4 linked regions of the Lonchura striata genome follow. The protein of the gene in region 1 interacts with the protein of each later gene in a pairwise test. Links are inferred from orthologs where the notes say so. Each region holds a gene or a part of one and is shown on either strand. Other genes may lie near its edges.

Region 1 (7,829 bases):
GGAGAGATAAAACAGCCTTTAAATCCATGTATCAACCAAATGTCAGGCTCTCTCCAGAAGCAGTAGAACTTGATAACACACATTGCTGAGAGGCCAGCTAAGTGCCACCAATTAAAACCCAGCTTCTTCAATCTGCCATTCCAAGATGACCATCACAGTAATTACCAGAGCTGATACAACGTTGAAACATGCTTAACCTCCCCACATCATAACTTTCAGTTACCAGAAAAATCACCATTCACCCAGCCCCTGAACTCGCTGTGTAGGGGACACTGGCCAAGGGAAGGGTCTGCACAGTACATGGGCAGCCTGGGGAGATCTTCCTCCAGGAGGAAAATTGAGGTTCACAGGCATCAGCCACATAGGGCTGCCTAGATTATGTGAAATCCTGCAACACATGTGCCTTATTTCCTCAGCATCAAAATGCCTGACAAAAAAAAAAAAAAAAAAGGACTGGACCGGACAGAAATGCAGATTGGACAAAACAAGAAGCTACTTTTTTTTTTAACTTTGCATGTTGTTTACCTTTTTCACATGCTTTAATCTTACTGTGAACATTACCTATAACCTTCAGACACCGAACAATGTCATAGAAGCACACAAGGGCCATAAGCAACAAGAATAATTTGATTAATTATTTGCTTCAGGACATAATTTACAAGTTTTAACTAAGGGTCAAAATGACCAGTAGAGATGAAAGAAAAGCTTCTTTTGACCTGACGCAGCTGCTTTAACTACACAATAAACTAAAGATAGCTTCAGTGGGAAGCAGGCTGTTTGTAGTTACAGCATTTATTAATACAAACCTACATCTCCAAGTGCTGCTGAAGTTTGACACACGCTTCCTGTATGACAGTAAGAAAACGTCTGATGAACAATGTTTGCAACCATGGCTCCGAATAAGGTATGCTGATGACTCAGGCATCTCTTGTAAACCCAATATATTTCTGCTTGTATGTGGTTTCTTCACATTAACAGAAAACAATTGTAACAAACTTTGAGGTCTCCAGAACAAACTCCCTTATTTGTGGACATTGGGCTTTTCTTCTTTCAAGGGAAAACAGTAAGTTATTGCTATGGTAGCCTCTCCACCTTTCATCCATCCATCAGCCCACTGGACCTTCACCGTTTGCCTTCTTACATGCAAATACCTGATCAATGTTAAAGTTTGTCATCCAATTACCTAGTCATTAGTCTCGCTAACAATGAGACACTCACTTTGGAGTCAAATAAAGCTTTTTTACAAAGTACTTTTAAGATTTGCCTTTCCCTCATTCCCTAAATGCATGCAATTAGGGATAAAACAGGTTAAAAGCAATTGCAGATAATAAAATAATCAGATAATTCAACAGAAACAATAATAAAAAAACCCTGCCATGAAAAAAACTTGATATTTTATTCAGTTTCTTTAGACACTTTAAAAGGTGACCAACACCCACCAATGCTGATTACAACTTCAGAATTATTGCTAGCTATATTTTTTACTGCAGCATGGATTACTTGGCATATACCACAATCAATCTTCAACCTCCTTTTGGGCTTATCCTCGATTTGAAACTCAAGTGAATCTGAACTACTGACCCGCAAGCAGTAGTTTAGCTGAAAACTAAGTATCCTTCTAGTTTAGTTGAAAACTAACATTACTACTCCAGGATTATTGTCAGAAAGCACAAATAGGCAGCACTGATCAGGGTCCAGAAGGCACTTCGTATCTGACGTGATAATTACGATATATTAAGTAAACCACAAGAGGTTTTGTAAAAGATAAACTTGCTCGCGAAAGTTGTCAGATGCACAGCAGCAACATCAGTTTTCAAACACAGCAGGCGCATGTAGCAGCAAATCTGCTGCGTTAACCTGCCAGCACACCCCAACTGAAAACACTGAGAGAGGAACAAAATCAGACCGTTCAGCCCTTGCCTGCCTTCCTGCTGAAGCCGCCAAAATCACGGCTAACTACTTCCAACTATGAGAGCAGTCCTCGGCCAGACACGCCCTCCCTCCAAACAAGCTTCTTAAATGCGAGCTCTACCACTTTAACCAATTATACCCTAATCAGCACATTCCCACTGTCCACTCTTACGGCTGCAGCCATTTAACTTCCCCACCGACTATACCAAAGCACACATACCTTTATCCTCTTAGGAAGGCAGTACATGCCATTAAAACATTAATAAAAATCAGGAAAGAGGCAACAGCCATACCACTAACCAGAAGAGTTGTGTTAACCTACAAGTTACCTTTAAAACATATTATTTTAAAAGCACTGCAATTTAATTTTAGACATTTGTCTTGACAGTTCAAGGGAAGGAAAGCTTTAGAAGGTATCCTTTTTATTCTTCTTTTGACAGAGAAACATTCTCCATCGAGTCCTGGCGCACAGTAAAAGCCTGATGAGCGCCGTCATTCCCTTAACCCCGTTCCATGATGCACGTTAGCACGAGTCCCTAAACCCGGCACTTTTTCACTCCAGCAGGAGCGCGTCACTCGCTGGAAATAGCGTTCACCTTTGGCAGGCGCGGATGCCGGCGCCGCAGGGTCACGCCGGGCATGTGCAGCATCTCCCCCCGGGCCCGCGGGGGGCTCGGCCGGGACTCGGCGCTCTCGCTGCCCGGCCCCGGTCCCGCCGCTCTGCCCAGCAGCCTGGAGCGCAACAGGCCCGCCCGGGGCCGCGGGCAGGAGCCGGGGCTGCCCGGGGTGACCCGGGGCCGGCCCGGCAGCCGCCCCCGCCGCGGCTCCGCGGCCGCCGGAGCGGCGGGGCCCAGGCGAGGCCGCGGCGCGGGGAAGGCCCGGGAGAAGCCGGGCGCGGGCGCGGGGAGGGACGGCGGGAGCCGGAGCGGGCGCGGCCGGGCCCGGGCGCGGCGGAGCCGCTCCAGGCCGGGCCCCGCCGGGGACTCACCTTGGCGGCGCCGCCGGGCTGCAGCACGTTCTGCTCCACCGTCATGGCCCCCGCGCGGCTCCCGGCGGCGCCCCGGGCTCGGCGGGCGGCGGCGGCGCCGTGCGGCGGCAGCTGGGCCGGGCCCGGGCTGGGCGAGCGGGGCGGGAGGCGGGGCGGAGGGGGAGCCCGAGTCGCCGCCCGGCGCGGGGGGAGCGCGGCCGCGCTCCGGCCCCGCCGCCGCTCCCGGAGCGCCGCCCTCGGCCCGGCTGCGGCTCCCGGCGGCGCCGCCCCGCGCACCTGCCCCGGGCGCGGCCCCCGCCCGGCCCCTTCCCCGCCCTGTCACAGCGCCCGCCTCCATCTTGGCGGCTCCCGCCGGGCCCCGCCGCCCGCTCCTCCCGCGGGAGGGCTCCGCGTCCTTCGCCGGCTGCAGCGGCGGCCCCGGCGACGGCAAAGTTTGCCCCCGCCGCGGGGAAACAGAGCGGCTTACCGGTGCCGCTTTCCAGGGGATCGCCAGGGAATTTATGAGCCAGCGCTGTGGCTGCTCGTGGCCAGGGCAAACCGAATCGCCAAATGAATCACAGACCCAGGATCGCTCGGGTTGAAAGGGAGATCGCCCGCCGCAACCCCCCTGCCAAGGCAGGGTCACCCAGAGCAGGTGGTACAGGAACGTGTCCAAGTGGGTTTGGAATGTCTCCAGAGGAGACTCCACACCTTCCCTGGGCAGCTGCTCCAGTGCTCTGCCGTGCTCAACAGAAAAGAAAAAAAAAAAAAAAAGTTATTCCTGCTGTTGATGTAGAAATTAGAAATTCTTGTGTTTTAGTTTATGGCCATTGCTACTTGCCCTGTTGTTGGGCCCCACCATCCTCTTGGCACCCACTTTGGAGATCTTTGTATGCATTAATACACAGAGGTCCCCTCTGTGTTCTCCAGACTAACCAGGCCCAGCTCTCCTCATAAGAGATGCTCCGGACCCTGATCACCTTCGCAGTCTTTGCTGGACCCTCTCCAGGAGCTCCTTGAGGAGCCCAGAACCAGAAACAGTAATGGTGCATCCTGAAGTTGCAGGTCTTCCCTTTCCCTGAGGTTTGACTGGGTGAGCCGTGGTTTGACTGGATGGCATTCAGCATTCAAATTGTATGGCAATGTCATTAACATATGGGGGGGGGTAGCTGGTCTTGGCAGCCCACAGTGAATTTTGGCACCACAGATAAACAGTATTAGGGAAGAAATTGTCCTTCTGTCACCCTGCTCTGGGGTGTCAAGGAAAGGGCAAGAAAGGATTCTGCTTTGGGCATCAGCACAAGCAGCACAAGACTCAGCTGGACAAAACACGTTTGCCCAGGAGCAGGTGAAGGGCAGCAGAGAAGCCCATCTCACATTTTGAATGCCTGCCCAGTGTATGGTACCAGTGTCCCTGTTCCACTTCCAAGGCTGGTGGAGCTCAGTCTGTAGGAAAAGCTGCAGAGAACAGCACAGTTCTGAGAGCCCCAAGTACCTAAAAAACATGAGCTGGGAGCCTAATGCTACAAAATTAATTGCAGCTATTGCTTGTCTGTCACACACAGCCTTTACAACTCTGTAATCCAGAGCCCTCCTCTCCCCACAGTAGAGTATGGATCTTTTTAAAACTGACATTATCAGGTAATAACATCACTGGAAGATCCTGGACTCTAAGGAAAACACAAGCACAACTCATGACAACTTGCAACCACTGCTTCATTTCATTGTAGATTCTGTGCAGGAGATGTTGCAATGTAATCAATATTTGCACTTCTCAGGTTTGTTGCCCATAGATTGTATCAGTTTTAATGTTTTGGTTTTTTTTTTTTTCCTTTTATGCTGCAACATGAAAGGAAATTTGTAAAATTTGTTTCCAAAGAATTTATTGTGCAAAAGATAAGAAAGTATGCAGATAATATAACGGGCTCAGAAATGGATTGCAAATTACTTTACTGGAGATAGGAAAGGAAAGTCTCTGCTCAGACTGATGGCTATATGTAAGAAAGACAACAGTAGCAGCTTGGGGTTTTTCTTAAAAAAAACTTTTCTGTAGTAGCTGTGAAGGAGTGATAGTCCAATTCCTCCGTCCTCTTCCAATATATAATCATGCTTTTTCTTATACATTTTTACAGCTTCTTCACCGTGTTTTTACATGTGCTATGTTCAGATAACTCCCATCACAACTATTATTTACATTATTTGAACATATTATAAACAAATTAGCATTTAAATAAAATACAGTTGTCTTGCAATATTTTTTTCAAGTGTTTTCACTGTTTTATTTAATAGCTTTCCTGTGTCCAAAAATAAAATGTTTCCAAAAAAGAAAGAAGAAATTGTACATTTTGTTCAATTCTTTTTAAATCAGGATAAAATGACAAAGCATCACCTTCCATTAAATTCCCTTCCCCAATAAAATTCATTTTTAAGGGCTCCAGCTTCCTAACTTTCTTTAATATAAAGGCTGAGCAATCTGATTCCAAAACAGGGATTTGCCATTTAAATACATAATCTGAACCAGAATCATGCAAATGAGGATTCTGTCATACCTACAGTGTTGCTGGGAACCAGAGGGAGCAGAGTTCCCTGTTCTGTTTTGCAGCTCAAGCTCTCTATGAAGTACATTGAGTACAAGCCTGGAATTCATACCTCATCAGTAAACACTAATGATTTTGTCAGGGCCACAGTTTAAGAGGAAAATATATATTTTTTTATATATGTGCATATTTTCACAGAAGTTTGTTAGGTTTCCCCATAGTTTTTCCTCACCTTTTAACAATATTGCAGGGTTTGGCTGCTACCAAACATGGTTTGGTTGTTAAACAGTTTGGTGACATGTTGCACAACCTGTGCCTCCAGCTGCTTGTTCCCCTGAGCAAGGCTCCCCCTCGTCTGCACCTCCTGCTCACCAGCGGTGCTGGAGAAGTGATTCACTTGAAACACAGGCACAAACTCCCCTCCCCACTAAACTGGTTGTTTTCTTCTGCTAGATAAGTTCCCCAAAATGGTTCACTGACTGGCTACAGGAACAGCTGGGCTGGCCCAGAAGAGAGGGTGACCCAGGCTCAGTGATGGTACCCATCAAGTTTCATTTCACCTATTTCTAAAATCAGTAAGTGATTGTGCCTTCCTGATCTGCACACTGCCAGTTGGAGGGAAAGCCTGTGCCTGCTCACAGGAATCCTTGTTTCCCCATTTTTGCAAAGAGCAGCCAAAACATCAGCCAACCACAAAACACTTTAGCACATGTTTTATTGTATACAAAGACCATGTACAACAAGAAATAGCTCATTATTTCCCTCCATTTTCAATAGACTTGGGTTTGTCTTTAATTAAGTGCAACATGCATTTAGGGCTTTAATTAGACTGTGGCTGCATAAGTTACAGCTGGGAAACAAAAGTCAGGACTTCTTGGTTTTCTTTTCCCAGATGTGTAACCTGCTATACTGGGGATGAGAAAGCACTGCTTTAAAAAGCACAGGGAACGCTACAAACACAGGTTCTGTAGTTAACCCTGGACAAGAGCTGCCCAGGATTCACATTTATAAACCCCATCTTGGAGCACTTTCACTTAGGCCTTTTGGCTCTGCAGTAAATAGTTCAGCCAACTGACAAAACCACGGCCATTCAAGCAGCTTTTATAGCATGAAACTTTTGAAATCATCGTTTGGCAATTACTCCCTGTGTCACTGGTAACCATTCAAGCATTGCTTTGGCACCTGCAAAATCTCCTGGTGGTTATCATCCAAGGCAACCAAAACAAAAACTAACAAAATTTGTAACTCAGGAAAAGCCTTCTTAAAAGTCTTCTGAAAGCCTTTTGAAAATCTAAAAGTAAAACTAAAATGAGGTGAGCATAGGTCTTGTTGCTATGCAAAACACAACTTCATATTCCATTGTTTGTTGACCTTAAATTGAAGGTTCCTGACCTTCTAATTTTTTCTTGACAGCAGATGTCTATTCATTCACGTGTCTTCTTAAAGTCAGGTGCTACATTCAAAAATAAAAATTCTCAGATTTAGACTCCTGAGTTCATGTAATTGCAGCTGAATTCCACAGAAATTATGGATTTTACAAGAACCTAGTTAACGTGCCCTTTTTTACCCTAGCTATCTTCACACTTCATTTTACTTTATTATTTTATTTATTTTATTTTATTCTTGACCACCCTTGCATATTGATCATATTATTTGACACAGCTTTCCTGAGAGACCATAATATTTTTTTGTATGCAGCTGAAAGTAATTCAGAGCTCAGCAACAGGTAGTAGTCCTTCCAGTAGGCATTACCCAGTGTTTTTCAAGGACAAAAAATTACAGTACTGTTCCCAATATACTTATTTCTGTTATTGAAAAGGTAACTCATTTAAACAAGCATGTTCACAACAAATTACTATTTCCACTGAATTAATTTTAAGCAAAATAATAATTAATATTCCCCCTGGTTTAGACTTTTGTTGCTATAGGACACGTGAAAGCACGATGCGAACCACCTGCTATTTGTAAGGTAAAGAAGAAGGTTTATTTTTTAACTCTAACTTTTATACTTTTCTAAAGGTGACAGTGGATTGGAGAGTGAATGGGCCACCTCTCCAAAGACATTGGACAAACTATTAGTACATTAAGTTTCTGCACCCCCATGAAGGAATGCAAACCAATATAGAAATTGTGTGGGAAAGTTTTCTAACAGAATGTAAACTCAGAAGGCTTTAGAAAATCCTAAGAATCAGGGTGACAGACTTTACCTAATGATTACTTATAATGTGTATTTTGAAACTATTTCAGCTCAAAAATTATTGCTTTTAGCACGATAAGTGTGTTACACTCATATTCTAGGTCTAAACAATTTATTTTGGATTACAAAGTAATCAAGCCAGTTCTACATATTTTTTCCCCCATTCTTACTTTGCATGTATTTTTTCAAGTGGCAAACTCCCAGTTCTTCTCTTCCA
Region 2 (6,947 bases), on another chromosome or scaffold:
AGGGTAAGGTCATGTTACTGCCTGTCAATGATGGTGCTAACTTCCCTCACCTCTCCATTATCAACATGTGCTCTATTTGATCCCAAGCCCCTCCAGGCTGTGCTGCCCTTCTGGATCTCTTCTACATCTACTTTTGTAACAACTCTTCCTAACCACCAGCAGCAGCTCAAAAGCTTGCTTCTCCCTTTCATTACCTCTGTTATCCAGACTGACAAGCATCTGCCTGGAGTACTGCCCTCTGCATGCCTCCTCCTAGCTCAACACAGACAAAAAAAGTTGCTTTCTACACCCTCAGGGCCTTGTTCAGGCCATTTCTGTCAGTGCTGTCTTCTTTTGAAAAGCCTGCACCCACCTCAAAAGGCCTGAAACAGAATGTGCTGCTTTCTTACAAGCACCATTTCACCCCTTGCTTCCCTAAACAGTTCTTTGGGGTGAGTCACCTTCAAAGCCTTTGTCTGCCATCACTCCCAGAATCTGGGCAGGACCTGTAAAAATTATGGCAATGATAAGGCTGCCTTAATAGCACACACACATCTAAGACAATGGGATGACCCAGGTAACAAAGGGGGTGTGTGTATTTACTGTAGGTTAGTGCAGAGGCAGAATTGACTTCCCAAGAGCACTGACTCGAGACTTTGCCTCAGTCTTTGCCACTGAAAACCACAGAAACTCTTCCCAAGATAAGCAGACAAACTCGAGTATCATGCAACGGGGACATTTTTTGTGGCTGGAGAGGTGACACGCAGGTAACCTGAGGTGACAACAGGCAGACGTGTACACACTGATACTGTTACAACGGGTTCTGTAACAATCAGGGTCCTTGAACCTAGGAGGGTGCTCACAGCTGTGAACAGGCTTGGGTAAAGAGCAGGTCCTGGGGAATCATGGACAACCAAAAGGAGCCGAGAGGGACAAAGCTATGGCAGCACACAGCTCACACAGCTGGAGTTAAGTGCACCAGGGAAATCAAGTTACTTGGAAGCAAGAATCCAAAAGTAATCATCTTATGCATTTGCCACCAAAACATCTTTCTAAGTCTTTGGCTTCATTTCACATTTTTCTCAAATCAATCCAATTTTTTTTTCTCTTGGATAGGGGATGTTTGTATGCTGATTGAGTCAGCATATAAACTGTTGTAAATAAAGTTAGCTAACTGTGATGCTTCAGTCTGTACACAGGGCGATTGCGCAAAATACTTCAGATACAGAAAGAAAAAAAAAACCACAAAGCACTGGCTGTCAATGAGAAGCACTATGAAACTAAATTATGAGGCTGCTCTGGGGGAGAAATTCCAACTCTAGATTCTGCAACTGCAAGAAAGAACTGGAGAGCCAAGCCCTGACAGATTTTATGGAGCTGAATGGGCTGAGCTAGAGGAAATATCAAGATTCTATTTATTTATTATATTCCCAATACAGTGAGTTGTCATAAATTCTTGAACCACTCAGAGGGAAAAAAAAAAAAAATCACAGCTTCTTTTTTTTCTCTCATTCTATTTCAAAATTCAAATAAATTGTCAGAAAAAGACCTTCATCCTTAGCCGTTCATAGCCTCTGGAATTGTTTCCCAGTTATTCTGGGGCTTTTACAAGCAGAGCCAAACAGCCACTGTTGAAATGAGCCCCTAGCCCTGGGCAGAACTGCTTCACACACTAACCAGCAAACACAGAAGTCAGAATGAGTAGTTTAGCACAAGCTGAGCAGAAAAGGGTAGTGAAACTGACACAACCCCTCAGCATGAGGTATTTTAGTTTGCATGTGAAGCTCATGAAGCTCAGCACTCGCATATCTGGACTGCTGAAAGAAAAGTTTAAAAAAAAATCCCTTTTATCTTCAAAGTATAGACTTAGGTATCAGGCAAGAGTGAAAGTGAACAAGCAGCATATTTTAGGTTGTAACCACCCAAGCAAAAACTAGCAAGTGATATTTTCTCTCTCTCTCTTTTTTTTTTTTTTTTTTTTTAATGGCTCTCCACGCAGAGCAAGCAAGTTATTCTGTACTGTCAGGAATGCTGGATTCCTACTAGCAACAGTCAGCGGTTTCTTTTTCGTTGTGAAAGCTGCAGGAGGCTCTGGCTCTCTGGCAGCTGTATGACAGAGCATGAGCAGGACGCTGGCAGAATCAGCACCTCCAGCCCTGTGTGTACGTGTAGCACGTCCCCATTCCCTCACTCCTGCAGGGAAAGGGGTCTTCCTCTTCCCTGCTGCCTGGCAATGCTGTCTGCTGGCCTGGGAGGAAATGCTGAGGAAGCTAAGCCTACTGTAAAAAATGAGTTAGGAGATGGTTCTCATTACAATGATTAAGCTGACAATCTTAGTGGCAGGCTAGAAATTTTCTGGCCATTACACAATACTAGGAAATTTGGAGTTTAACTGCAACTAAGTCAGCCTGACATAAGTATCCCCTTTTGCAGAAAGACAGCCTTTATTCAAAGAAGATGCCCTGGGAGATCCTACAACTGCAGATGGAAGAGGTTACAAGGAGCAGGAGAAAAGGTCTCTTTTACCAACACAGCTGGCTCAACTTTAAAGTTTACTTGTAGCAACTTTCCTCCTACATTATCTAAAGAGCAACAGGGCAAACACAGGTTAATAACCCATCAAAGGTATGCATCAACTACCCAAACACTAAACTGCAAGCTACTAAACTCACCATGAGCCAGCAGTGTGCACTCACAGCCCAGAAAGCCAAATGACTGCTGGGCTGCTTCCAAAGCAGCGTGGGCAGCAGGTCAAAGGAGGAAATTCTGCCTCTCTTCTCCTCTTGTGAGACCCTCACCTGCAGTGCTGCATCCAGCTCTGGGATACTCAAAGTGAGAAGGACTCATGGAGCAAGTCCAGAGGAGGCCACCAAGCTCATCAGGAGCACCTGCCCTGTGAAGTCAGCTTGAGAAAGCTGGGGCTGTTCGCCCTGGAGAAGTTTCCAGTATCTGAAGGAGCATACAGGGAAGCCAGAGAGGGACACTATGTTGGGAACTTTAGTGATAGGACAAGGAGGGGTAGGTACAAACTGAAAGAGGGGAGGTTTAGGGAATCTTTCCTTTTGAGGGGAATCTCTCCTATTTATCCCCAATTTAAGCTGGATATAGGGAAGACATTCTTTATTGTGATGGTGAGACACTTGAACAGCTTGCCTGGGGAGGTTGTGGATGTTCCAACACCTGGTGTTGTTCAAGGACAGGTTGGATAAAGCAACCTTGAGCAACCTTAGTTGGAGGTGTCCCTGCCCATGGCACAGGGGCTGGGACTAGATGGTCTTTTATATTCTATGAAATGAGCACTGGCGGAACTGAGGGTGCTATAAACCTGCAAGCGTGTATTAATAAGCTTGTATAACAACTTACAAGCGGTGTGTCCTGTGCCACTCATTTCAAGAAGAACACTGAGGGGCTGGAGCATGGCCAGAGGAGGGAACGGGGCTGGGGAAGGGAATGGAGCCCCAGGAGAGGCTGAGGGAGCTGGGAAGGGGCTCAGCCTGGAGGAAAGGAGGCTCAGGTGGGACCTTGAGCTCTGCACAGCTCCTGACAGGAGGGGACAGCCAGAGGGGTCAGGCTCTGCTCCAGGAACAGGGACAGGAGGGAATGGCCTCAGGCTGGGCCAGGGGAGGTTTAGTTGTATATTAGGAAGAATTTCTTCAGAAAGGCTGGCTGGACGTTGGAATGGGAGACTGCAGAGTCACTGCCCCGGAGGTGTTCGAGCAACGCCTGGACGCGTCACTCAGCGCCACGGCCTGGCTGACACGCTGCTGTCCGGCCACAGGCCGGACTCGCAGACGTTCTTCCCCACAATCACTCCGTTCCTTCTCTCTCTATCTATTTATACACATTGATATCTGTATTTCTGCCTCGCCGCCCGCGCCCCGCCTCCCGCTCTCCCCGCCCTCAGGCGCGCCCGCGCCTGCGCCGTGGCGCGCGCCCCGGGCGGCGCATGCGCAACCGCCGCTCCCGCCCAGCCCGGCGCCGCCTCCCTCCTCCTCCTCCCTTTCCCGGCCTCTGCCCCGCCACCTCTTCCCGGGGAAGGGACGAGGGCGGCCGGAGCGCGGCACGTACCCGCCGCCATGCAGATCACGCTGAAGACGCTGCAGCAGCAAACCTTCCGCATCGACATCGACCCCGAGGAGACGGTGCGGCCATTCCCGGGCTCCCGCCCCCGCTCCCCCCACCCCCCCCCCACGCTCTTCCCCCCTCTTCCCATCCCCGGGACGCGGCCGTGGAGAGGGATGCGGGATCTGTGCGCTCAGCCCCTGGAAAGGGAGATTCCGTGAGGGGTTGGGGTCGCGGGGGTGAGGCGGGGTCCGCCCGGGATGATTTTGCGGCTGGCGGGGCCGGAGGGAGGGGATGAGCTCAGGCGGGGGTGCGAGGGACCCCTTTTCCTCGGGATGCTGGTGGGTAAGAGGGACTTCCCATCGCCGAAGGAAAGGGACTGCCGTGGCCAAATCTCCGGCGGAAGGAGTTTTCCCCCCTTGTTTTAGAGGAGAACGCCCCGGAGGTGGGAGGCGGAATAGCTCGGGAGGTGGAAAGGGGGAATAGCTCTGAGGTGGAAAGGGGAAACAGCCCGGGAGGCGGGAGGGCGAATAAATACCTCACGTAGTCCTGGGGAGGAGAGGAGCGCTATAGGAAAGTTTTCCCTGTCGGGAAGCGGGGTGCCGTGGGTTGGCAGTCGGTGGGGCACAGATCGCTGCTGGTTTATGCTGGGAGCCCTGGGAGAGGGGGATGGGGACACTGGATATTGCGAGAGCATCTCTCTCCCGGGATGAGGTTGGGGGTCCAGCAGAAGGAAAACGTGGTGGTCCTTCCCTCCTCCCATGGATTCGCAGGAGGGAAACGCTGGGAGGGCTGTGGGGCTTCACTGCCGGGGCAGGAGCGTGATCTGGAGAGGGGCTGGTGTTTGCTGCCGGGTGCATCGCTGTGTGCCCGGGCAGGGGTGTGCTGTGGAGGTGGGAGAGTGCGGGAGGGTTTGGTGTTTGGCCTCACAGGGCGAGCTGCAGCGATTAATCAGTGTGCACTTCGGACGGGAGGGAGTGCGGGAGAGACGCTGCTGACCTCGGTGGAGCCGGTGTTGGGGTGTGCGGTGGGGTGCACAGCAGCCTCATTCCCCCTCTCCTCGATGCCTTTGGATGTGTCTGATGATGCTGTGAGCGAGGAGGAGACATGTTTTGCTTCCAGGTGAATGTTTTCTTCTGGCACACAGGAGCCTGCTGGAAAATCCTCGGGGAAATGCTGTGTTGTGAGATGAGAGGAAGGGCCCTAAGTGAGTTGGCAGGGTTGGAAGTTGCCTTGTCACTTGCCTGAGCAGAGATGGTTGTTTTGATAGCCAAGTCCACACACACTTGTGGCCTTGGTTTGAAAGATCTGGGGAGGCTGGCAGCTTTCCTTTCTTTCCAGCAGCCTTTCCTGTGACAGGTGAGCAGTGAAGCTCAAAAAACTATGGAACATTGGATCTGCTTTTGTAAAGTCTGTTGGTTTGCCCTCTTCCATCTTAAGAAAACTAAAGGATGACAGTTGAAAGTTGGACTAAGAGCTCATTTGGGTTACCATTGTGACTGAGAGGCATGACAAATGCTTAGGAGAGGCAGGGATCAGAAACCTTCAAATATTTAAAACATAAGTCTGTGCTGTTACTGAAAAAACTATCTTTTTTTTTTTTTTTTCCTTTTTTTTCCCTCTTGCTCTCTGCATTCAGTAAGGTCCTGGGAAGTAAATTCAAGGAGAGGACTGAAGGAATGTTGTCGGTCAAAGCCTTCACCAGTTTATGAGACAGCAGAATGCAATGACTAAGTTGGATTGTGGGAAAATGAAACTGCACCCTCTGTTTATAGATGTAGCCGCTACAGTGGCTCAAAATAAAAATGCTCCTCATGAGCATAACTTCAGGTTTTGGCCAGGAATGGGTGGTAAAACAGAGGAAATCTGGTAGAATTTGAGGAGAACTTTGTTTTTAAAAGAGCAGGATAAAGGCTTGGTCTTATTATTAACTATAGAGATGAAAAACATGTTTAAATTTCCATGTACACTTTTTAGAAAATTACTAAGAAAGTACTGTTGGAAATACTAAAAATCAAAAAACTTAGTAAAGAGAAGTTCAGCTTTGAGCTTTCAGTTACAAACTGAGTCTTAAAATCAGAAAACGCTTTGAAATGTGCCATGCTGAGGAGGTGCCTCACAAGTGTGTGCTTTGAAGTTCTCGGTCAGACTTTTTGGAATGCACAAATTTTAGCTAAGTGTGCTGGTTTCGTAGATTATTTTCCTCAGACCTTGAAACATGTTTCATGGAGTTTGGGAAAGATTACTTTTAGTCTTTGGACCATGTGTGTGTTTCTCAGAGGTAGGCAGGCTTGTTTACTTGGATTTCTGCCCTATGGTGTGACAAGGCCAAAAATCGTGTAGTTGCGATAGGCGCAGGAAACGCGTTGCTCCGAAGCTGTGTTCTGGTTCTCTAAAATTGTTTTTGTGTTCCTATCAGTTTCTCCTCGTACTCTCAGTACCCAGTTAATCTGGAGAGACTTGATGATACTATGCAAGGTAGAATTCTGATAAGTTTAACTTAGAGCTGTCGTTGATAGGAATATTTAAACCAACCTCCAGTGAGAGTTTGAAGCAACATACTTCCCAATAATAAATTATCCTTGCTAACTGGCTTTTTGCACAAGCAACTGTTTTTTTTTTTTTCCTAGTAAATCTCACAGTTGAATTTTAAACTTGCCTTCAGTGGTGTGACTCCGGTTTTGGTGTGGTTGTGTTTTAAAACATTGGCCAAGTGAGTATTTTGGATGAGTGAAAATTATACTTGAAGCTATTATCTTGCTTGCCAAAGCACTGGGAGAAGACTGTCAGGTACCCTGACTGACTAAAGATGAAAAGATTTAGCCTCAGGCCCTATTATTGGGGAAGGCCTGTTATCAAATTAAATTTTTGGAAGCCTGTTTTTCCTTAAGTTTTGTGATGCGCCC
Region 3 (7,718 bases), on another chromosome or scaffold:
ATCACTGCCATGGACTACTTTTCAGCAGGAGCTTTCCATTAGAAATACTGAAACTCACTGGACTTGACAACTATTGCTTCATGGTGAAACTATAAAAACTTCTTAAACTAAGTAACTTTTTCTTAGGCTGAAATCAAGAATAGCCTCATATTCCTATTTTTTACCCTGGACTGTGGAACTAGCTGTTCCAAGAAGCCATCACTTGAATTGTTGGGAAATTGCCTCTCAAAGATCTGGCCTGAAATAACAACTTGACAATCTATGTGCAACTATTTGGAGTGGTACACTACTACTTCCTTAAAAAACACTACATTTAGTTTCTTTGCTTTCCTTCACACTGCCTGCTCTGGATGGTATTTACATACTATGGGCAACCAATTTAGGTATCCAAATTAAAAGTATAGGTTTTTTATGCCATCAGTGGAAAGGGGAACAGTGCTTCAGAGGGCAATTAAAAGTAAAACACTGAGAAACCTGCCTGCTTTGGCAATTTCTTGGAGGACCTGGACGCTTCTGTTAAAGGCCCAGGACAGATTGTGAAGATGTCTGAATCTCCACAGAGCCTTTTGTATTTTTTTACATTTAATTGGGACAGAAAATAAATACTGAAATTTGTTAATAAAATGTCACTTGAATTGCAATTTAAATGCATGGAGAGTCTTCCGCTATTTGTTGGTTGCTCATTCTAAATATTCTCCCTTAGGATGATTTTTCAAGCAAATTGCTCTTTCCCTATTACTATCTCAGTCAGTTCTACACAGATTTTAACCTAATTAGCCCACACTTTTTCTTCTTTTGGTTGGCTTCAGAAAAATGAATTTCATGGCTGGACAGATATTCTGGTTTGCCTTCACTTGCTTTTAGCATTTTCATATTATTATACCTATTGAAGGTACAGATTAATCTGTTTTGCTGGCCTCCCCAGTCAATGCTGATCTTTGGCCTGACTGCTCCTCTGCTGTTTGTGGTTTCTTCCCAATAAAAAGTAACAACTTCCCAGGCCTCTGCCATGTTCTCCTGCTGGCATCCTGTGTAATTCTGCTTTGCATGCAAGGAGCCTACACTTTTAAAAAAGCTCTCTGTCATCCCAGAATGTTCCAGGCACTATAGAAAAACATACAAGAGCTCCATTTAAGCCCTCTGGACATGTTTCTGTCTAGCAATTTTTGACAGAAAACTGGAACAATTTTAAACAAATCACAGGCATCCTGGCTTTTCTTTTCTGTGTAATCTAGTTTCCATGAACTCTTAGACACTTATCTGTGCTGCTGATGTCCAGAATGCAAGCTTCTCCCTAGCACTTAAACGAATCTTCTCTAACTTCTGCCCCCACAGCTGGTCATGAAGCTGCTGAACAATTATCTTGGTTACTGCATAAACAGGTACAGGATTTTGATAACTTAATGGCCTACCATTACAGCTTGTGAACAACTGACAGGGTATCCCAATCTCCTATAGGGACCACGTGGCTTTGTGCTTGCTCCTCTCTGAAAAGCTCAGTCTCTCAACATTTCACCATCTCCATGTCTCCTTTCTTTCTTTTTAATCCATTTGTTATTCCAGAACAACATTTTATAATTATTACACTTTAGCCCCAGCTGCTGGTAAAATAAAGGAGGTACATATAAAACACCAATAACTACACATGGGTAACTGGCAGAGAAAAAGAACCAGTTCCTGCTTGTTCAAGAGACATAGCCAAAGTAATTGATGGATAAAATAAGAAGAGGAATGGAGAAAGTTTCTTTAAAGATCCAGTATTACACATATTTACTGATGTACAGCCTGTACTGCTTTGAGTTTGCAGTGAGCCTGTATTTCATAAATTGATATTTTCATTTTGAAAAAGAAGCTTTCACTGAGAAAGTTGCTATTTATATATATAAAAATATAGTAATAAAACAACAGATCAAAATAAATATAAATAAGTAACCAAAACAAACCCTTTTCTTCATAGAATATTTTATTATTTCTTGATGTACACATTCATTATCCCTGGTTTGGGCTTTTTTTCCAAGTCTCATCTGGAAATGTTTCAAATGGAATAAATTTTAAATTATTCTCCTTTTGGAATAAGCTACATTTCTGAACTCTTGAAATGTTCTATTTATTCCAGAATTTTACTTTGCTTCCAAGAGCAAGGCAAAGAACTTCAGGGAACAATTAGAAAGAACTGGAAAATCCTCATAACATGAAGGGCTGACAGCCAAAAATCCTAAATCTGATGGACTGCCTTGCAGATTGGCATGAACAATGTCTCTCCCCATAAGTAAACCTTAATCTCCTAAGCAGAAAGGAAAATAATTTATTTTTAAGGCTGCTGTAGTCTTTCCATGCCCAACAATCCCTCTTTTTCTTTCTTTTTCTATATCTTTCTCAATTTTTTTCTTTTTCCTTTTTTGACCCCGTCATTTTTTTCTATTTTTTTTCCTTCCTTTTTATCTCCTTTCCTTTCCTGCCCCCTAGTGACCAACTAAGCATGTTCCTAAACAAACTGAGCACTCTTCCAAAATACTTCTGAAAGGAATAACAGTGAAATGTTTCTGAGCTGTTCATGCCTGAGCCTCTCAGGCTGTGTTAGTAACAGGTGGGTTACAAACCTCCTGCTGCCTCTAGAAAAGTCCCTACCACATGTATTGGGTGGGATTTGGCATATATTTCAGATATGGTTTCCTAACCATGCTATTGTACAGAAGAACAAAAATACTGGATTTTGCAGATTATTTTCTCATAACATAAATAAATTACATTAAAAAGGAGAGGTGTTTTTATGTTGAATCTCAAAAATCACTATGAAGGCTATTAATAACTAGTCCTAAAATATGCTGAGAATCTTTGCTTCCTTGAATTCAAAGCTAATTGAATCCTGCTCTTACAGTGTAATTTTTCAAAGTTGTTTCCATTCATAAAGACCTGCTGTAGTTTCACACTCAAGCTATAATGAAGACATGCTGGAAAAGGAAATCAGGCTGCAAATAATTTAGAATAATAGTACCTTTTGGGTATAGTGGTGTGGAGAGAAATGTAGAATTTATTTCAGGCGGTGCTCTTTATAATCGTGCTCCAGCAGAACAGTGAAATATTGTTCTGGATTTCAAATTACTGAGAAGACCTGAGGAGCAGGATGTGTTTGGATTTACACAGGTACTTGCACTTCCACACACTTCTAGATACAAAGTCCCTTCTTTAATTTTAAAATGAAAGTAGTCAAGTTAGTGCACTTGCTACTTCTGCTGTGGGCCCAGAGAAGGGTTTATGAACTCAAAAGCTTGTATAGCTTTCCAAACATGTTAATGGTGACAATAAAAGATACAAATGGCAGCATTTCAGGTCCTGTTTTCAGTCTGTGGTGCCTGCAGGCAGGAAGGGAAGCTCTCATCATGCAGACTTTGGAGAAGTTGGGAAGGTCTGAGAGGCCCTATGAGCCACAGTTGATGACAGTTTATGCAGGAACATTATGGCCCCATGCAAAGCAGTGGATGAATTATGTATGTGTGGGACTCTGGCTATTCCCTGCCTGCTGAGCACAGCTTGGAATTTCAATGGAGGCACAGAGAAAAGCCAGTGGGATTACAGGAAACACGCATGACCAAGGCATCACATTTGTCAGTGCATGTGGTTTGTGCCCTGTGCTGGCTGCATTCTTCTGTCACACTGCTGTGGCTATGTGTAAATTACCAAACTGAACAGGACACAGACACAAGCATCAGACCTTGATCTGTCACTAGAGCATGGTGACAGCCTGGTATAGCTTGTAGTCTCCCACAAAAAATTCCTGGGTGCAGTTTAGGCATTAGCATGGACCAGGGAGAGAAAATTTGGATGTAATTGCCTTGTTTCAGGGACAGGGATGTTTGACAGAATGGAAGACTGTGCAAATGTGCTAGATCCTTTGCCTTGCACTTAAGTAATTTAATTTCCTAATGTGACAGCAGCCTGAAAGTTGAATTGAGTTTGGAGGTACTCATCTCTGCATTTGCAACAGGAAGCTACTGACCCTATTCAACTACCTTTTCCAAAGTGTTTTAATATGGTGTGAATAAAAAAACACATTTCAGAATTATCAACTGAATTCTCTTCTAGTCAGTCCCATCTGGGCTCAGGCTTCCCCCACCAAGCCAGTGAGGTTTATTGCGGGGCTGCGGGGAGAGAGAGGACAATTTCTGTTCTCTTCCAAAACCTTGAACTGGCAAAGTCAACTAACAGGTTTTTTAATATCTGTTTTTCGACATTAATAAAGAGAACTATGCTATTTATGTTGTATAATTTCCATTACATAGTTATTTTGCAAGCACTGAACTTCCTCGGAGTCACAGTATTTTCCTATATAAGCAACTGTGCAAGGATCATGAAGCCATTGGCACCCAAATGCAGTCTTCCACACTTTGCGGGGGGGGGGCGGAAATCCCTGAACAGAAACCCCTACATTTAATTACTGAACACAGCAAAGGCACATTTGTTCTTCTGGGGCGGATCGCTAGTGCTGTACTTTGTTGTGCCCCTCACGGCCCCCGCCAAGGGGGCCGGTTACGCGGGCCGTGTGGGCGCCGTCCCGCTGTGGGCCGCAGCCCCGCCGCCGCCGCTGGGCGGCTCCCGCGGCGCGCGCCTGCGCACGAGCGCGGCGGTGCCCGGATCCCTCCGCCGGGCGCAGCGCCCGCCCGGGAGCGCGTGCGGAGCCCCGCGCGGGGCGGCGGGGGCTGCGCGGGCCCGGCCCGGCCATGGCGGCGCGGAGGTGCGCGGGCGGCGCGGCCGCCCTGGCCGAGGCGCCGGGCTGCGGCGCGGCGGCGGCAGAGCCGGCCCGGGAGCTGTTCGAGGCCTGCAGGAACGGGGACGTGGAGCGGGTCAAGCGGCTGGTCCGGCCCGAGAACGTGAACAGCCGGGACACGGCGGGCAGGAAGTCCAGCCCGCTGCACTTCGCCGCAGGTACGGGGGCAGGGGGAGCCGGGGGGCGGCGTCGCTTGCCCGGGGCGCTGGGCCGGGCCGGGCCGCTCGGGCCTCGCCGCTCGGGCCGGGTGCAGCGCCGGGTCCGAGCGCTCCGCCGGCCCCTGAGCATCGCGCCCGGCCCCGGGACCGAGCCCGTCTCACCCACGCGGAGGGGTCGCCGAGCGGTACAGCTGTTCCCTCCTTTGCTTTTTCTTCCCCCCCCCCCCCCCCTTTTTTTAAAAAACCAAATCTCATCTGGCTTTGAGGACACATCTGGAGTGGGGTTTATGCTGTTCGTGTTGTGACACGTGAGCTCTGACAGGGACACTTGTCCCACGTACAGTTCTCATGGATTTCAGCGGGCCTGTGCATTTTTAGAATTGAACGCATGAAGGAGTTCGTCAGATAACACCGTTTCTAAGCTTTTTGCGTTCTTATCTTTGACAAATGGACTTTGTTAATTCAGGACGTAAGCAAACAATTGACGTCACAGGACAACTGCTTTCACTGGCAATTGGCCAGAAGATTGTATCCCACCTTTTCAGACAAAGACCCGACTGTGACTGTTGTTTCCATGTTGGTTGTTTGGTTTAATTACAGCCGTAGATGTTGGACTCTAAGGCTGACAGTCTGCAGAAAACAACAGCTTCTTTTCAGCTAATCAATATGGATAATAACAAAGATGTTTGTTTCATTATTAGATTGTCTTGGTAAAGGTTTCTGCTTCGGGTGTCCTTTCCTCATGTTAAAAGAGCTTGACTCAGGCTTAAGAGGTCTAAGTTCTTGAAAGCCTCCTCAGAACAGCAGTATTTCATAAATTCAAGAAGCCTAATCGGCAAGAGAGCTCAGGAGACAAAATATCCTGTCAGAGGAAAACAGTTTTTGTGGCTGTTTTTTTATATGCATCAATCCTACCTGCCCACTGAACTTCTAAACAACTGTGTATGTTTTAGAGCATTTTGGAGAAATGAGGGGTTGTTTTTATTTATTTATTAGTTTTGGTTTTATTTATTTATTATGTTAGTTTTGGGGTTTTTTTGGCCTAAGATGTTTCTCATTCACTGTAATGATCTAGTTTATCTCTCTGAATAGGGGTGATCTGTCTTGACTTTATATAACTCCTGATAGGCAGAAAGATTTTTCTTTAAAAAATGCACAGCCATAAGTTCATGTAGTTGTTAGATTTCTAAAGTTAGGCAGGTTGGTGTGTAAATGGGAGACACTGCTGTCATGCACATGTCACCATGACTTGGTACAGAGAAATTAATTGTTCTTCTCAGGGGCCTGTAGGAGATGCTGAGGGTTTCTGGCTAAGATGGGACAGAAAACACTTGTGTGATTTCTTCATGGAACTCTATTTACTGCCTCAGGTCGAGCTCTGCTGTTGTCAGCCCACCTGCAGTAGGCTCTGTTTGAAAGGTGGACATAAGTCGCTCTTGGACTTGGGCCTGACTGGTTTTGTTTGGTTTTGCCTTTCCCCTATTATTCACCGTTGGAATAATACTCACTTCTTTTGTCTGTGCCTCTGAAGGAGTCACATTCCAGGAAGTAAAAGCAAAAATCTGATGTATTCCTGCTTTGTTTTTAAGTGTTCTTAGAAAATGCATTACAAAACTTCTCTGACTAGTTTCATTCAGTTGCAAGACTTCTTTTATGGAGGAGCTGGAGCTGAAATACACCATGTCACCATGTTTTTTATTGCTCTTTTTTTCTTTTTACTTGACACTCTGGATCTGAACCTCGGTTATATTTTTTAAGACTTTTCCCAGATCTTACCTAACAATTAAGAAAAAAATTCCTCTTTTTCCATGTGTGTGTTTGTAAAGGTGGATTTTGAAGTAAAAGGTGTAAAAAAAATCTTCAAGCTCTCCCTAGAAATGTGTCATTATCAGAAGTAATACATGTTGGAATTTTGCTGGAGCTTGCTCTTTGGATTTTGTAGTACACAACTGTGTGTGGTAGTTAAGTTATCCTGAAGGTTAAGTCAAGGGCCCACCACCCTTCACAATAAAAGAGGCTCCATCCTCTCCCCTCATAAACTTCATGTATTTCCTCAAGTCAATCTTTTTCATCACAGTGTGTGTCAAAGTCAGAAGTTTTTAAGGACTTGGCAGGTACCAAAATGCCCCTCTTGCAATCTAAATTTCATTAAAAATATGAACACCCAGGGTAGGGGAGAAGCATTTGAGCTAAGTTCTTTCTGTTAGCTTGTTATCCCATCAGAAGTAGCTGGATGTCAATTATGATCCACAGTGACTGTAAATAAATACCTTTTTAAAATTATACACACTTGTACATTTCTACTGTGATTAATAATAGCAAATTGTCGGCTGAAAATTTGTAACTTTCCAGGGAACAAGTGCAGTGAGCTGCTCAACTATTACAGGTGGGAGAAGAGTGTCAGCTCAAGGTCCTGAGTAGCCAGCCTTTCTTGTTGGCAATAAAAAACAAAGAGTTCATGATGATAAGACCATTACGTTGCAGTTGAAATGTGTAATCCCATTTAGGTGGTCTCTTGATAAAAGCACAAGAGCTAAAGAAAACACCTACCTCTTAAAAATTACAATGTTGGGTTTTTTTAAAGTGTTTAAACAGTTTTTACTACAGCCAGCTACTGGTAAAGAGGAACTGTTTGAGTAGGCAGTGACTGCCTTCCCGTGACAGCAAAGGCTGCCCCTGCTTTCCACTCCCAGGAAGAACAGCAGAGGCAGAGACCATTGTGCAGTTTGGCCACTTCCTCTGCACTCATGCATCCTTTAGAAAGTAATGGGAAAATAATTCCCCTTCCATATATG
Region 4 (7,511 bases), on another chromosome or scaffold:
TTAGTTCCTGCCTGTTAAGAGACTGTTCTGTCTTTATATCAATGAGAAGTTTTTTCTGTGCTGCTTGTTCTGATGATAAAGGCTGATATGGGGAGAGATACAGACTTAGTCTTTTCTAAATGGCTGATGCACTAATGAAGAGTCTGTTTTGCAAAGCAGTCTGTCTTTTATGATACCTGTGTCCTCATAAAACATAGTCAGGAAGAGCTGGTGCAATTGTTGGATTATAGTATTTTTCAAGAAAAGCATTCCTTTCCTAACAAAAACTCTGTTAAATAAAGAATGCTTTACTGCAGGAGTGTTGAGGCACTTGAACTGGTTGCCCAGAGAACTTGTAAATGCCCCTGGCAGTCTTCAAGGCCAGACTGGATGGGGTTCTGAGAAACTTGGTCAGGGGGAACGTATTTCTTCCTGTAACAGGGGGTTTGGAAGTAAGTGATCTTTCAGGTTCCTTCTAACCTGAACAATGCTATGCTTCTATATTTCTAATTATTAGATAGATTTTAAGAAAGATTTTTACTGTTGTCAGCCTGGCTATGTGAGCTAGTATCACATCTTCCTTTCAAAAAACAGAAATGCTTGACCTTTTTTCCCATACCTCTGTGGGTGTCAATTCTTTGTGAGTGTAATTTCCATTAAGAGATGGTGCTTACAGTGTGTCTGTGGCAGAACATTTACCTGGCCTGTGCTCCTAGCAGAAGCTTTTCAAAAAATAAGAAAACATGGCATGGTTTTTATAGACTCTAGAATGTAGCACTGGGAAGGCTTGCCCAGTTTTATAGAAGCTTGCCTATTCTAGGAGTATGACAGGCAAGTTGTTTTTGTTCCTACAGTAATTTCTGTGCTTTCTATATAAAGAAGAATACTGCAGACTGTTTCAGATGGCAAAATAACCTTGGTCTGAAAGAGGAACCTGCCTCATTTTACCACTCTGACTCATGGAGCCAGTCCATTGAGGCATCTGTTCAGCAAAGGTTTTAGCAATTACAAAGATGGACCAATAAATTTCAGATAAGGAATGAAGTGTAATGGGGTCCAAGTGTTCTTGCTTAACAGTAAGTGAAGGCTAATATTCATGGCTGAGAAACTGAGACAATTTATATATCCATAGCCTCTAGACTTGGAACTGAGTAGAGACAGACCTGAACAAAGAAGAGGAGTTAATCCCTGCATAATAACTTTGGAAATGCCAGCCTGCCACAATTACTGATTTTTAAAAAGTCTAATGAAGACACTTGTTGGAATGTAAAATAAACCTATCTTGTGGAACCGCAGTGATGTTTATCTGAAACTTTGAATGAAATGTGGCATTTTGTCTTAGTCCTGTAAGGCTATAAAACTTTGAGGCTGTTGTAATAATGTTGAATTTCTCCTGGATTTTTTTTTTTTAATGGATGAAGCTTTTCATTCACTTTCCATTTGGTTATAGCAACTTGCTTCTATAATTCATGATCTTTAGTTCTGAGATGTCTTGCCAGCAAATTTGATAGAAATGTCAGAAGGAAGGAAAAACAAAGTTATGGCTTGTGGATCCATCCACAATTGGATGCTGGTCCTTCTGGAAGCCAGCCTTTCTCAGATCTTATGGTAAAGAAAATTTACAGTATCATCAGCTCTCTGCCCAAGGCACTCTTTTGTGTGTGTTTGGAAATTGGACAGATATTCCAGGTTTTGACTTCCTGGAAAAAGATGAATGTTTTGAATCAATGTTTTTGGTGTAGCACTCTGATAGATCTTTTTCTGGCTACTTCTTTCTGAATTGTGAAAAATAATAGACCATGGTGAACCTTGAAAGAAGATTTTGGGACTGGGAGAAAATTTAGTGATAGTTAGATGTGTTTTGTTTTACTGTGCCATCACTGTCTTGTCCATAACAGTTTTGTTATTGCTGTCTCTGTGAAAACTCTTTTGTAAAAATGAAAATGTATTCCACTTGGCAACATGCTACACTGTCATATTTAATGTCACTGTAACTTGGACCCTGAAAATATGCAGGCCATTGGCTAAGCTGTTCAATCTCTTTTTAGTGGTTTCAGTGATTTCTTGCAAGAAAGATTATAATTTTTTTGTTTTGCTCTTCATGTATTTTCACTGACTTTGTACGCTCATTTCACAGCTCTCTCCATGCAATCATAGTGTGATCTATGGCATGCAAAGGAGTTTTACTTTTTACTGTAATTCTGGGAAGTAAATACATGTTTGAAACAAAACCATAAAGGAACAATGCATATATGTATATATACGTGTGTGTGTGTGTGTGTATGTATATACATTTATGTATGTCTCAGTAGCTCCTGAAGGGAGATAGTTGGGGCTCTCTGAGTAAGACTTTTGTAACTGCATCCCAACACAGGCTTTTTTTTTTTCCTTTTTCTTTTTTATTCCCCCCTCCACCAGCATTTGGAAGATACAATTATACCTGCAATTGTACAATTATACCTGTACTATTCTGCAGTCACTACAGTGGCACAGCTGATCTTAGTGAAGATATGTCTGTGCCCAAAGAAGTTTGCTCACATCTTATCACAGCAGGAAAATGGGAGATTAGACAGGGATCTGCCTGCAGTATCTGAAATGCTTTCCTGCAGATTTACCTCATCCCAGTGGTTCCATTATTTATACGGTGGTTTAATAGGGACAAATCACAGTTGAGTATTTTGTCCCCATAGAAATGATGCCACCCATTTTATGTCTGAAATTCTTGATTTGATGAGAGACATGTTTGGCGAGAGGCAGTGTTTGTATTTGTGACAGTGTAAGAGTGGAAATAGATATAAGGGAATTTAAAAGGAGAAAAAATTGTTTGGGGTTTTTTGGTTGGTTTTTTTCTATTTTTAATATGTGTGAAAATCATAGGATTTTTTACTTCCAGGGAAAGAATTACTGCAATCCATAAACACCTATTTTTTTTTTTTTTAATTCTTTCACAGTAGCATGCTGAGCTTTATAAAAGACCAAAGCAGAAAAACTTCATTAGAGGAAAACTATGGCATATGAAAAGATTACCAAAGACATGAGAATCCCAAAAGAAAGGTGTATAAGAGAAACAATAGATTCCTAGCATCAGTGAAGAATGTTTTTTTTAGTGATGAATGCTCCTTCATGAGCTCAGGTCAGAAGCTTTTATAGAAAAGCCCTAAAGAGAACATGAATGCTCTGGTACTTTTTCTAAGCATCTGTTTGCCTTGTAATAGGGCAGTAATTGTGTTGACAGGTCAAGTAGTTTTTCCTCAGGAAATATTTCAGCAGCTAGAGTGCCTGGAGTAGTCTGATGATATCAGAATGTCAGATGCAATTTTGAGTAAATGAGGGCATTTCTGGGATGTTTCAATAGAGAAAAAAAAAATATCTATCTGTCCGCAGTATTGATTAAGATGACTCCAGAAAGTAAATCTATAGGAAAATATTTTATAAAATCCAATTTTTTGAAGCTCCTGAGGCTTTTAGGTGTGTTTGTGATATTCCTTTTTAGTTCATTTTATGAATGACTCCTTAATATAGTTGGTAGTAGATGAAATACCAATGCCACCTGTTTAGTAGGCACATGCTTGTTCTGATATGGCCAAAATGCTGAGGATTTACATGAATGAGGGCAAAAACTCTTTCGTCTTAAGCTGAGAAAGAGGCTAGCTAGGCCACTAACTTTCATAATAATGATAAAACATTAACCTGTTAATTAACAAACTGGACAATCCTAAAGCTCAGTGATCATATTTTTAGATCCAGGTTTTGAATTTCCCATCAGACAAGTGTTCTGGTCCAAAGCTACCATGTTCCCTATTTTTCCCAGACAGATTTTAATTGAGCTATGTTTCTGTAAAAGAATACATTGCAGTATTTAAAAACCTTAGCAGAAACACCGTTGTCACCCTAAAAGCATCACAATATAAAATAAAAAGCAAAAATATCTGAAAGAAAGAAAATGCTTCTGAAACCGAACTGTTAAAGTAAAATATGGAACTTGACACCATAGAGGTTCTAAGGAAAGAGCCCAGTGTTGAAGAAATAATAAAAATTTGACAACATGTACTTGCTAGCATTATTGTCAGAATGAATTGACAATATGAACATATAACAATATGAAACTTGCTAAAAACTAGCACATGCTTTCTGTATCTGTCAGCACTGGGAAGGAGCATCTGTGGAATAACAGCAAAGTCTTTGAAGATGAAAAAGGCATTTTTAGAGTCTGAAGTACAAGTCAAAAAGCAGAGCAGTATAGCTTAGATTGTTAGTAAAATGTTGCAGAGCTCAGAGATGAGTGTTTGGTTGTATGAGGAAAACTTTTCATGGAGAAGCTGGAGAAAACACATGGAGAAGGAGGCCCAAGCATGAGTGATGGAAATGTTGCTGCAGGCTGTAAGCTGATTGGAGCACAGCAGGTGCAGACTGAGACACAGTGCCCTGAGCATCAGTACTCAGCAAGGGCACTTCCCTGAGGAATGCCAGAACTCAAGGAAATATAAGTGTCACTTTTTCCTTCTAGACACATCCCCTTCAGTGTGATGAGTGGGACTTTGTTTGAAGATATCTACAAAAGTTGCAAAATCACCAGTATTACCAGTTGAACTACACCGGATTTCAAATGTTTCTCAGTAGGTCAGTAAATTCACTCTAGTGCCCTGATCAAACTCTAATTTGTTTGAATTACTTTATAAAATTATATTCTGTTGTATTTCCCTGCCTTGACTTCCTTTTAGACACTTGCTGTTTTCTTCCTTTGTTTCTGCGTAATTTGCTCATAAAAACTCCTTTCCTAAGGTGTAGATAGAAATTAAATTTTCATGTTTATACAAAAAGGTAAAGGAGGCATGTAGAGGTAATCTGATGATCAAATTAAGACCATCGTTCAGCTATCTACACACACTGGAACGTGATTTTAAGGATGCAAAAATAAGAATAGAACAGTAATTCAAATCCATTTTCTTTGTTAAACTTCTTCAGATTTAGTTTTTTAAAAGTGAGGTAGTTGCAATGGATTTATAATACTTCAGTGCCAATTATTTCAAAGTGTGCATTAGTTTGGAGTATACCTTTAAGGTTCTCCTGAAACCATGAAACTATAAAAATATTTAATATAGTATATCAAGTCACCATCAAAAGTGTATTTATGATTCTATGCATACTGAATTTCTTCTAGTTTTCAGATGAGTTACATAAGTTGAAAATATGGTGAAGAATCTTAAAAAACTTGTGCTGCTTTTCTCAGAGGCACACATCTTGATTCCAAGAATCCTAATTAAATAGGATCTTCAGAAAACTGTACATTCATATTATTCTTTTTTTATTAATGTTTTCCAGGGTATAATTAGAGAACTGTTGAAGTTCTTAAACTTCAAGTGGTACTTAAAATATCACCCAGTTCTAGAACAAATTGTTTCAATAAGCATATTTTCATCATTTGACACTGTCTAGTGTGCCTTATATGTATGTATGCATGCAAGACATTTACTTTAAACCTTACTTCTTTATTTTCATACCCTGCTCACAGAATACTACTTTGGAAAACAAGAAAAGGTGAAAAAATAGCTGCCTAAATAAGGAGCATTTTTTTGGCACACTATTTCACCACTACATGGCTTTTGATCTTTGTCACATTTCAGTCATCTTATCCATGAAGGAATAAACTAATCAATCAGAAATTCCTAAGTCTCTCACCATTATACTGTTTGGTCTTTTTAGAAAAATTCATATTCCTATTTATATTTTTTTTAATGTTAGAAGGGAGATAGTACCTTAGTAATATTATAATATTTGCTAAGCAAACTTTTCAATATAGTAATTATTCTCCCTTTGTTCTTGTCTAAATATTAGATTAAATAGAATTAAGCTAAGTTTTGCAGTGTGGTTAGCAGAGATTTTTTTTCTAACACCTTCCAGGTGAGTTTTCCTTCATTTTGCTCATCTGTTCTGAGAGAATGTTTTGCTTCCTAGTATGCATGAAATGTGTGAGGTACTAAACTCTTGTGCTATGGCAGAAGTACCCTGCAGAGCTGATGAGGAAGCTGCCTGAGAGGAAGTGAGTACTTAATTTTCTTATGTGTTTGTGTAATATTTTTCTTTCACGTAGGATACGCCTGATATTTGCATGCATTTGTAGCTTCCTTAAAAGTCATATTTAGCGACCAAGGGGAGAGTTGCACTTAAGACCCTCTGTGGCTGTTATGCTCAAGTGCCTCTCTTGGGTAGCCAGCCACACTTCCTTCAGCACTCAGGAGGGTGAAGCCTTACATTCAACCTTAGGGGTCAAATCTCCATTTCACAGCTTCATGTTTGTAACTGCACTGGCTTGAAAACACTGCACTCTTTGTGCACCTGGAAAAACTTAGAGGAGGAGAAAACTCTGAATTCAAGCATTTTCTTCTATTCCTTTACTGATCCCAGAAGGGTATTGCACTCCCAAAACAAAGGCAAGATTTTGAAATTCCAAATGAAGAGAATAGCCATCCCAAATTCAGACATTCTTCCAAAATTGTTAAGTAGTTTTTAATCATTATCTAAAGTTTTTTTGTGATTATTTGCCTCTATGCATGCCCAGGAGATGCTGCATCACTCCAAATATTTCCTACCATTGCTAAACACTAAATATTCTTCACATATTGGAAAGTGGGGTAGAAAACCTGGCCTGAAATAGACCAACGGTAACATATTTTGTGAAAGTAAATCAGGCCATTGTTTTCTGAAACAGATATAAATAAATAATTTGTAAAATATTAGAGATCATCAGAATCCTGCTGCTGTTCTTTTCATAACTGAGAAATATTCTTCTTGTTTTGGAAACCTGTTATACACCAGACCTCCTCATTCTGAAGATTTAACAAACAGTCCCTCACCAGTGCCATCACTGACATTTCATCTAAATTGAAACCAGTGGATTTCCCCCTGCCCTTCTGCCTTTTAAGAACTTTTTGTTCCTGAAGAGTTTGTAGAAAACATTGAGATTAATAAGAGACAAAAAATACTCTGGAGAATAGCCTGATTTGAAACACATTATAGTCAAAGTGAATTTAAATTTCAGTAGTCCTAAAGTTTTTTTGTAGACAGGGATGATGTGTTCACCCCCTCTAACCTTGTCTCCCACCCCACTTTTATTAGCTGTTATTTTCATTCTGAAGTTTTTTATCTTTTTTAAGTCTGAAACTAGAAGCATGGCAAAAATTAACTTTAATGAATTACATTAATTAAAATAAATTTCTACAGATGAAGATTGTGGTGATATTTTTCTGCTTGATACATGTTCAGTATGTATTACTGAGGTGTTTTGAGCAGGCAGTGCAGTACCATTCTTGGCATGAGGCACAATATGGGATTATTTCTTCCTTTTCTGCAAGTTGTACATTGCTGGTGAAGAGCCAGTGTTGATCATTCATGCATCCAAATTCTTTCCTTACTAAAAACCTAATAGTAAATCTGTTTTCTTCCATCTTTCCTGAAAGTGGTATTGAAGACTTAGAGCCTGCCTTCCAGCACAATTTTGCTAGAAGTTGGGTGATGTATATTCATCTCCTAAC

Evidence for each region.
Region 2: the proteins of USP25 (region 1) and RAD23B interact in binary tests that used the Homo sapiens proteins (3 or more experiments, as listed by UniProt). The link is inferred for Lonchura striata from reciprocal best matches to the Homo sapiens genes USP25 and RAD23B.
Region 3: the proteins of USP25 (region 1) and TNKS2 interact in a two-hybrid assay, tested with the Homo sapiens proteins (2 studies listed by BioGRID and IntAct). The link is inferred for Lonchura striata from reciprocal best matches to the Homo sapiens genes USP25 and TNKS2.
Region 4: the proteins of USP25 (region 1) and SYK interact in binary tests that used the Homo sapiens proteins (3 or more experiments, as listed by UniProt). The link is inferred for Lonchura striata from reciprocal best matches to the Homo sapiens genes USP25 and SYK.

Annotation. Positions count from the first base shown.
Region 1 is NC_134604.1:8,527,776-8,535,604, forward strand, and holds the start of USP25 (ubiquitin carboxyl-terminal hydrolase 25), read right to left. Parts: upstream 3,007-7,829; 5' UTR 2,945-3,006; coding exon 2,900-2,944; intron 1-2,899. UniProt on the Homo sapiens protein: Deubiquitinating enzyme that hydrolyzes ubiquitin moieties conjugated to substrates and thus, functions in various biological processes including inflammation and immune response.
Region 2 is NC_134642.1:81,799,774-81,806,720, forward strand, and holds the start of RAD23B (UV excision repair protein RAD23 homolog B), read left to right. Parts: upstream 1-3,942; 5' UTR 3,943-4,055; coding exon 4,056-4,121; intron 4,122-6,947. UniProt on the Homo sapiens protein: Multiubiquitin chain receptor involved in modulation of proteasomal degradation. Binds to polyubiquitin chains.
Region 3 is NC_134609.1:16,489,965-16,497,682, forward strand, and holds the start of TNKS2 (poly [ADP-ribose] polymerase tankyrase-2), read left to right. Parts: upstream 1-4,718; coding exon 4,719-4,923; intron 4,924-7,718. UniProt on the Homo sapiens protein: Poly-ADP-ribosyltransferase involved in various processes such as Wnt signaling pathway, telomere length and vesicle trafficking.
Region 4 is NC_134642.1:7,797,376-7,804,886, reverse strand, and holds the start of SYK (tyrosine-protein kinase SYK), read left to right. Parts: upstream 1-4,491; 5' UTR 4,492-4,599; intron 4,600-5,934; 5' UTR 5,935-5,996; coding exon 5,997-6,019; intron 6,020-7,511. UniProt on the Homo sapiens protein: Non-receptor tyrosine kinase which mediates signal transduction downstream of a variety of transmembrane receptors including classical immunoreceptors like the B-cell receptor (BCR).